Linked DNA regions of Drosophila melanogaster. The protein of the gene in region 2 interacts with the protein of the main gene of each other region in a pairwise test. Each region holds a gene or a part of one and is shown on either strand. Other genes may lie near its edges. The genes, in order: dUTPase and GV1.

Evidence for each region.
Region 1: the proteins of GV1 (region 2) and dUTPase interact in a two-hybrid assay, tested with the Drosophila melanogaster proteins (one large-scale study listed by BioGRID).

Annotation. Positions count from the first base shown.
Region 1 is NT_033779.5:11,009,220-11,012,781, reverse strand, and holds dUTPase (deoxyuridine triphosphatase), read right to left. Parts: upstream 1,471-3,562; 5' UTR 1,342-1,470; coding exon 775-1,341; 3' UTR 647-774; downstream 1-646. Other genes in the region: Art8 (arginine methyltransferase 8), read left to right, coding at 1,790-1,828, 1,885-2,871; Nup154 (nucleoporin 154kD), read right to left, coding at 3,023-3,155, 3,217-3,339, 3,405-3,562.
Region 2 is NT_037436.4:1,808,771-1,813,663, reverse strand, and holds the start of GV1 (GV1), read right to left. Parts: upstream 3,077-4,893; 5' UTR 2,945-3,076; intron 1,036-2,944; 5' UTR 983-1,035; coding exon 980-982; intron 1-979.

The DNA.
Region 1 (3,562 bases), on a different chromosome or scaffold from region 2:
CATAATTGCTCGACTTCTGTTCAGCAAACTCCTTTTTTATGAAGATCTAAAGCGGTTTGTATACATACTCCGTTGGAAGTAAGTACTTCTAGTTACTAGAATATAGTTAGCACCAAGCGTTAACCTTTCGCGGCCCTTCATGCCTACTTAAATATGCAATACAAGTTACAGCTGTACATATGTATGTATATTAACCTTAAACTAGATCCATAATTCTGGATGGATGGTCAGTGCAATTTTTTGAAAAAGCCAAAATGAAGACACATCCCATTCATTGCCTAAATATGGAAATGAATTGTAAATAATTTATGTATGTTTCGATAACATTACTCCTGATACATTTTAGTAAAAGGTCCTTAGTAAAGACATTTAGTTAAAATTGGTTGGCTTGATGAAAATCGATATAAATATTTAGCTCAGAAATTGCGTGCATAAAAAAGTATTCAAAGGATATAAGTTATTTACCAGTTACCTCATAAGTGAGGAATAATTGTTTAAGCTGCCTGAAAAACCTAACACAAATTTTTTAAATAAAGAAAAATAAAAGCCTTTTAGAAATAACATGCCAAAAGTATGCAATGCATATCCAGGAAATCTAGTGATCCACCATCCACCAGTCAATCTAATGACACTATGGGAAACATTTCTTCGTAGATTTGCGGTTTTAATAGATAAAAATATACCAATACATTAACATATTTCACTTAAGGATACAGAATGAAACTCTTTGATAGTGACCATGAAGGGATTAAGAATGCGGCAATAGTTCCTCGTTTACGTAGCAACAGGAGCCGGAGCAGCTCCCTCCGGTTCGGCAGCCTTTTCTCCGTTGCCGTTCTGCGCCTTGGCTGCCGGCAGATCCTTGACTCCGGTGGAACCGAATCCTGCCTCGCCGCGCTCGGTGTCCTCCAGTTTGTCCACCATCACCAGTTGCGGATAGAAGATACGCTCGCAAATGAACTGGGCGATGCGGTCGCCATGCTTCACCTCGAAATCAACATCTGAGTGATTGAACAGGACGACGCCGAGATTGCCGCGATAATCCTCGTCCACCACACCGGCGCCCACATCAATGAAGTTCTTCACCGCCAGCCCGGATCGTGGGGCTACGCGTCCGTAGGAGCCCTCCGGAACCTGCACTTGCAGATCGGTCTTGACAATGGCCTTTCCGCGTGCCGGCACCACAACGTCGTAGGCGCTGCGCAGGTCAACTCCCGCCGCTTTGGCGGATCCCCTCACCGGCTCCAAAGCATTCTCGGTGAGTTTGGCGAATCGCAGGACGCACGTGTCGATCTTCATCTTCTTGGCAGCTGGAATGTCGGCGAAATCGGTTGATGGCATTTGGAGCAAATTGAGTTATTACAGGAATGCTTCGAAAGTACAGAGACTTTTTTCAGCTTACTTGCAGAATTCTGGTCTGAAAATAACGCGGTTTAACACAGCGTCGGAAAATTGGCGGACTTCCAGTGTTGCAAGATACCAAAAGTACAAATCGCCGAAAATCTACCAAAAAATCTTAAGTCAGCTTTGCATTTCTAAAAAACATATATACAACTATGCCTTGAGTTTAATTAAACAAATAATAAATAAAACAATAATTTAGGCATTAATAAATAAATCAAATTGATTTTATTAAGTAAAACGACCAATCACAACCAACCCTGATAAGCAACCCTATCGATATATCGATACTATTGTAGTTGATTAACACACCTCTATTTAGCACGTTGTTTTGAAAAATTCACTTGATGCGTTAATGTTAATGTGTTGATAACTGCAACTTTAAATCATGGCGAACACTTATTTCGATGAGTATGAAAACTTGGAGGTAAATAAGATTATAGATCTTCTTGTGAAACTGTACTCATAGTGACCAAACTACAGATCCACGAGCTCATGCTGAAGGATCGTCCTCGGCAAGAAGCCTACTACAATGCGATATTGGGGAATAAGGATCTGTTCAAGGACAAGATCGTAATGGATGTTGGTGCCGGCACAGGGATTCTGTCCGCCTTTTGTGCGAAAGCAGGAGCCCGTTTGGTCTACGCCGTAGAAGCATCCAATGTGGCCACCAAAGTTGCGCTGGATTTGATTGAGGATAACGGCCTGACGAACGTGGTGAAGGTGATCCAGTCGCGTGTTGAGGAATTCGTACTGCCTGCCGAGGCGGAAAAGGTGGACATCATTGTGTCCGAGTGGATGGGCTTCTACCTGCTGCACGAGGGCATGTTGGACTCGGTTCTCCTGGCCCGGGACAAGTTCCTCAAGGAGGGTGGACTCCTGTTCCCCAGCGAGTGCACAATTTTCGTGGCACCCTGCTCGGTACCATCGCTCTTCGATGATTGGCACAACGTGGACGGCATCAAAATGGACACGTTTGCCAGAAAACTCAGAACCCAAAAGTCATCCCGACCGGAGATTACACAGCTGAATCCGCAAGATCTTCTGCACGAGGGCGTCGTCTTTCACTGGATGAATCTGCTGGATGTGGAAGCCAGCGATTTGGACAGCATTCAGTTCAAGGAGGTAATAACAGCCCAGAAGGCGGGCAATCACCAGGGCTTCTGCATTTGGTTCGATGTACAGTTTCCTGGCGAAGATTTTGTTCTAAGCACATCGCCGCTATCCCCGCCAACGCATTGGAAGCAGTGTGTAGTCGTCCTGCCCGAGGAATCCTGCGAAAATCTGGAGGAGAAGTCACCCATTGCATTTCAAATCACAATGAAGCGCAGTGCTGCCGATATGCGTAAATACAATCTGGAGGTGGATTTGCTAGACCCCAACACAGAGGAGCATCCAGTGCCTTGCTCCTGTCACATGACGAAGTGCATTCTGACGGAAGCTCATCTAAAAATGATGGACACCTCATGAGTTACATGCCATCTCGGAATCCGAACAACGATCTGTGGGGAAATCAATTTATTTAACATGTTTAATACAAATACAATATATATCTCAGTCAAACTTAACGTCTAGTCCAGCACTTTCAAAAATTTAATTAAAATAACGCAGGCCGACGGCTTTAAATCAACAACCGCTGCAGCTGACTCTGAAGTTCCTTGAGTGAATGTTGAAGACGATTAGTGTCGGGCTTTTGGTAGCAAATATTCAGGCAGCCGGCCACTATGTCTTGAGCCTTGCCAACAATTCGTCGTCTGCAAGTTAAATGTGAATGTAAGTAAATCGTATCGGCTAGCATTTTACTTTTGCACTTACTTTGACCGGTACCAAATAGATTGTGCGTTGTCTGCCAGAAGCGAGACCACTCGTATGACGGATTGTATTAAATGCCACTCATTACCCTCGTTGGCCCACACTCGTTCGTTCATTGAAATCATTCTGAAAGTTTTTAAAAGTTTAGCCTTTAAACAATTTTATCTCTGCGAAAACCCTTCAATACGTACCTCGAATAGTATTCCAGGAGCAGTTCAATGTCCAAATTCATACTCACCAGTTTTTCCGGCACTATGCCCTCGGGAAATCGCAGTTGGCAGGCTTTAACTTCCAGTTCCCTTATGAGAAAGGCAAAGGGAAAGCAAACTCCAGACTCGCCATACTCCCT
Region 2 (4,893 bases):
TGTCGAAAGAAAAACGTAAATATTTAACTATAATATTTCATTCATTTATCCAAGATCGCGCAACAGCAGTCAGCAAGATCGCTTAAGGAAGTCATTTAAATTAACAAATTGCATATTAATATAATTATGCTCGGCTGCGGGCTCTTTGTCTGTGGCAAATGGCCAAAAATAGAATTATAAAAATAATCGAACACGTTAATTACTTAAATGATGTTGCACAAATATTGTTTTTGCCCGACGTATTTTGACAATTAACGACGCTGATTTCACTCTTTTCATTTCCGGTCAGACATCAGCGCGCAGCTTAACAAATGCACAAAAATGAATCGCAAATTCAAACTTGCCACAGAACAATGCGTACGAAATGAATGAGAATCACTCGAATCGACATCCAACCGCACTCACATGGCCCATTGTGGGTCAATGCCTTTGTCAACTGCAATTTCTGTGTGCAGAAAGAGTGGTTTTATGTGCTTTGCCCTTGGCACTGCAGCCGAGCTCATGGGAATTATGATTTCATAATAAGTAATAAGTTCTATGTTCTCAGAAATATATGATTAGCTGGCTTGAAGAAGGATTCCATGTTCACAACACCCAGAAATAATTCATCTTTCAGGAATGTTCGTGTTGAATACTTATACCTTCTTAAAAATAAGCCGAGCATTTATATATTTGAATTAAATATATTTATATTTCCCAGCTCATACGACAAGGTCCAATGACACGAATGCCTGGGAGTGGATTGCTCATGCGTTGCTGCGAAATTTATGCAGTTGCTGGGAGTGTGTGTCAATTTCGTTGGACGATCGTGCATGCGGCTTAATTATTTCAAAAATTATGTGAGAGCAAACACAGAAGTCGAGAAATACATAAATACCTGCACTGATTACCCCCAAAACAACACGACGAGCTACACGTGTTTAAACTCGATTACGGAGCGGAAATTGGCTTAAAGTTAACAATGCATGAGTGTACTTACCATTTTGTGTCGATTGTGTTTGGTCAAATGAAACTCGAAACTTCTAAGTCGCTTAGCTGCAAAAATATTAGTTCAATTACTGAAGGGTAGATCTTGGGGTTTTTCACTACACCAAAATAAGTTGGATGCATTCGATGTATAATATGCAAAACAATTTGTTCGATTTTAACTACAGTCACTGGAGGAGTTGCACTTGAAGTTTTTGCATAACCTTTTGAGCGCGGAAAGTTGCTCGGCCGTCCTCCACAGGCAGATTTGTTATTAATTTGAAGCGATCAACTGGTCAGCCTCAGTGAGAAATCAGAAATCAGAAGTCACCTCCATTAACGACAGCCGACTGGTTGCCTATGTCCACCCGGGTATATAGTAATTGTAGACGAGTCTGGCATATCGAATGCCGCCGTGTGGGACAATATCAAATCAGATTTAAGGTAAATATCAAATGGAATGGGCCGCGCTCATTACGCAATCGCCTTACTTAGTTGGACCCTAGTGAACGGTTACTTTTGGCGGTGATTGTGTCTGCGATGACGCTGACTTTTGGCGTCTCAATTGCCAGTGTGTCCGTGGCAGCATTTGGCTTTCTGGCGGAGATCGAGACGAGATCGCGATCGCGATCGAGATTCGTTCCACACATGGCCGCCCTGATAAGAGGGTATGTGTTTCAGTACGAGGGGGAGTAGCGCACGATTTGTGGCGCATGCGTAAGCGTTGGAACCAATTCAAATGACCATTTACCATTTTCTTGAAAATCTTAGGTACGGTTAATTTTCAATTGCCTTTGGCGTGGTGGCAGCTCTCGGTCTTTTTGGCCACACAGTGTCGCAAAGTTTGGCCGAATGTGAGCCGCATGCCACGCATTTTAAGTGCCGTCCAAGTCCCAGCTATTTGCGATCGTAAATATCCGAGGAGGAGGGCGTGCCAGTATGCACTGTCCGGCCAAAAAACGCCGGCCCATGTCACGGCTAACAGTCGGAACGTGACTATGTTTAGACGGACTCCAAGATTTTAGGCGTCAAAACTGGAGGCACTGGAGGTCAGCAGCTCAGCAGTAGAATCTCTGGCAGGCCCAAACCCGTTCCGAGCTGTAATGAGCCCACCGATCAGGCGACCTTAGGTATTTGCTCTGCGGCCAATTTAAGGAACCGTGATATGTGCATAAATTAAAGCGTTTAACTTTTATAGAGCCGACTAACTAGTCGGAGAAGATACTTCGCCTGGTCTTGAAAAATGCAAAACCAATTTGCGCAAATTAACAAGGTTTTATAATCATTGGCAACACCCAAGCTCAAGTACCCACAATTATCCGCCGCGGAGTCTGAGAAAACATTTCCGGCACATTAAACGCAAAAACTATACGGAGATAAAGCAAAACTAAATGTCAGTTGGCTGCCCGTGATAATAACAATAATAATTTGCGGCCTGTTCAAAACTCATTTCCAAGTTGCTGCATCTAAAGGGGCCATAAGCGTTTTTTAACTTTTTCCCTCCCTTTTATGCTACTCTATTTTATTTAGTTTATTTAGTTTTGCTGGAGAGAAAAGTCATGGGCGAGGTTTAATTTATGGCAGCTCGGGAAACGGATTTTTCTCTAGATTGCTTGTGCATATTTTTTTTTCGCCTTTTCGGCTATTTTGACAAATGCCTTAAAGTGTTTGGTGCGTGCAAAACGGCGGAACGCCTTCAATTTTATTTATCTTTGTGGAATTGATTTATTTATTTGCATAAATTTAACACGCCTGCGACAGCAGCTGCGCTGCCTGCAAGCTATAAATTGTCTGCATTGCAGCACGCAAGTTCGTTGCCTGAGTCTTTTGTTTCTGTCGCTGATCTTAACGATCCTTTTATGTTGGTGTTTATTTTTTATTTTTATTTTTACGTTTCTTGCTTTCTTGCACTTGGTCAGAACTTCACAACACACGTTTATATTTAGCATTCATCGTCATCAGTTAACACTGCACATACTTTGCCGCTGCTATCTGGTATCTGAAGGATATAGTATATTATACTGTTTATATGCTGTGGGTATCACGATATCGAACCGCTGTTTCTGCGCTAAAGCATGACAAAACTCATTGAAGACACGGGCCACACTGAAAGCAGCGAATGTGGTAGCATCAGCACAAAGTCTCCGTCTCCCGATTTGTCGGCCTCCGCTGGTCATCAGCTGGTTTGCGAATCAGCCAGGCGGCTTCGAGCCAGGCCCGAACTCGGAAAGCCGAGCCCGAACTCCAACTCGGCTGCTTTTCGCTTTGTTTTCTATTTTCAGGCGTGTTTTTGTGCGCTTTTTGCCTTTTTGCTTTTTGCCAGCCAGTTTTCATTTTCATATGTGGCCCAGGCAACATGTTGCTAGGGCCGTTTCCGGCATCAAATTCTTGAAACATGTTGCCAAGCTGGGGAAACACAAATACGAGTATATAAACCAAATCGACTAAATGGAACTTCTACTTTTAAACCTTAATCATTAGTGGGTCTACATTTGCTTAAGTCACTAGAGCATTGAATTAGCAATCATTGGCTAGCTTATTGGGAAATATTTTTTTACAAGCTAAGATTACATTTGAGAATTATCTGAATTAGTGTGGACTTAAAATAACATTTAAAACGTCATTATATTTCTGATCTGAACTTCAGCATAATTAAATATTCCGACATATGGGCATATAAACAAACCATCTAATTTATTTTGCTTCCGTTTTCCATTTTAATGACTGTAATTCATCTGAACAAATATTTTTCTGTTCGTAATAACGCATCAATAAATTATTAATGATTTGTTTAACTTAGAAATGTTTAATGAATTGAGGAATGCTAATTTCGTTCATCAGAGGGACTTGATGTTTTTACGAATTGTGAATTTTAAATTATAATTAAAAACACAATATATATATATTTATTTTTGTCAATTTTATGAAAACAAAATTATTTGCATAAGCGTCAATTAGCATTTTTATTGGTTACATTAAAGACGATGACAGGCATGATTTTAAAGTGCATTACATTCCTCTCGATTTTGAATGTGACTGTACCTAGAGTTGTAGGCCTATGTGTGTGGGGCATCCGTGACCTCCTTCGACGAGTCACCTGGTGATAACACACACACTGAACCACAATTGAGTGTGGCACTACAGAAAGCGATTACGTGAGCGACATTGAAATCGGATATAGCATGATATATAGTCTGGGGCGGCTGAGCTCTTTACGCATGAACTGAAGGCTGGCGTATTTTAATTTCTTTCATTAAACACTTCAAAGCCCCCACGACGAAGTGGTTGTCCCCATCAATTTGATTGGATGTCAGCCGATTTTGATTTTATTAGCTGGCCGAGTTAATGAGCCCCAGACAACACTTCGTATAATTATCGAACGCCTAATGTCAATGCAAAATACTGCTGTGTTCGCATTTATTTAATTTCATTTAACTTCGTTTTATGGGTTCACAGTGTTGCGCTTAATGGCGGATCGGTTTCCTCATTAAGACATAAAATTATGCCAAGTGATTCTGGACGACTGCGAAATTTAGGCCCTGCTTTTCAGAGGCAGAATAGTTTAGGTCAATTAAATTGTAAATTGTAAATGCAATTAAAAATCCATATCAATCAGTTCGCCTATCGATTAGCATACACAAGTTTTTCCAATTATGTGTGTGTCTGTGTGTTTAAGTTCGAATAGTAAATCAACAGAAATGTCTGTTAAAATCACTTTGGTCTGACAAGTTGCCTTCGGTGTGATATGGTAAAGTGCACCGAGAGAAATGAGGAGCACCTAATAGAATGCAATATCTCAGCGGGTTACGAAAACCCATCCAATCATGTCATCATAATATATAGCTATGCTATTTTCCAATGCTTAAATATTTTCCCGAACCATTTCGACTTTTTCCATATATTTCCCACTCTGTATGTCTGCTTTAG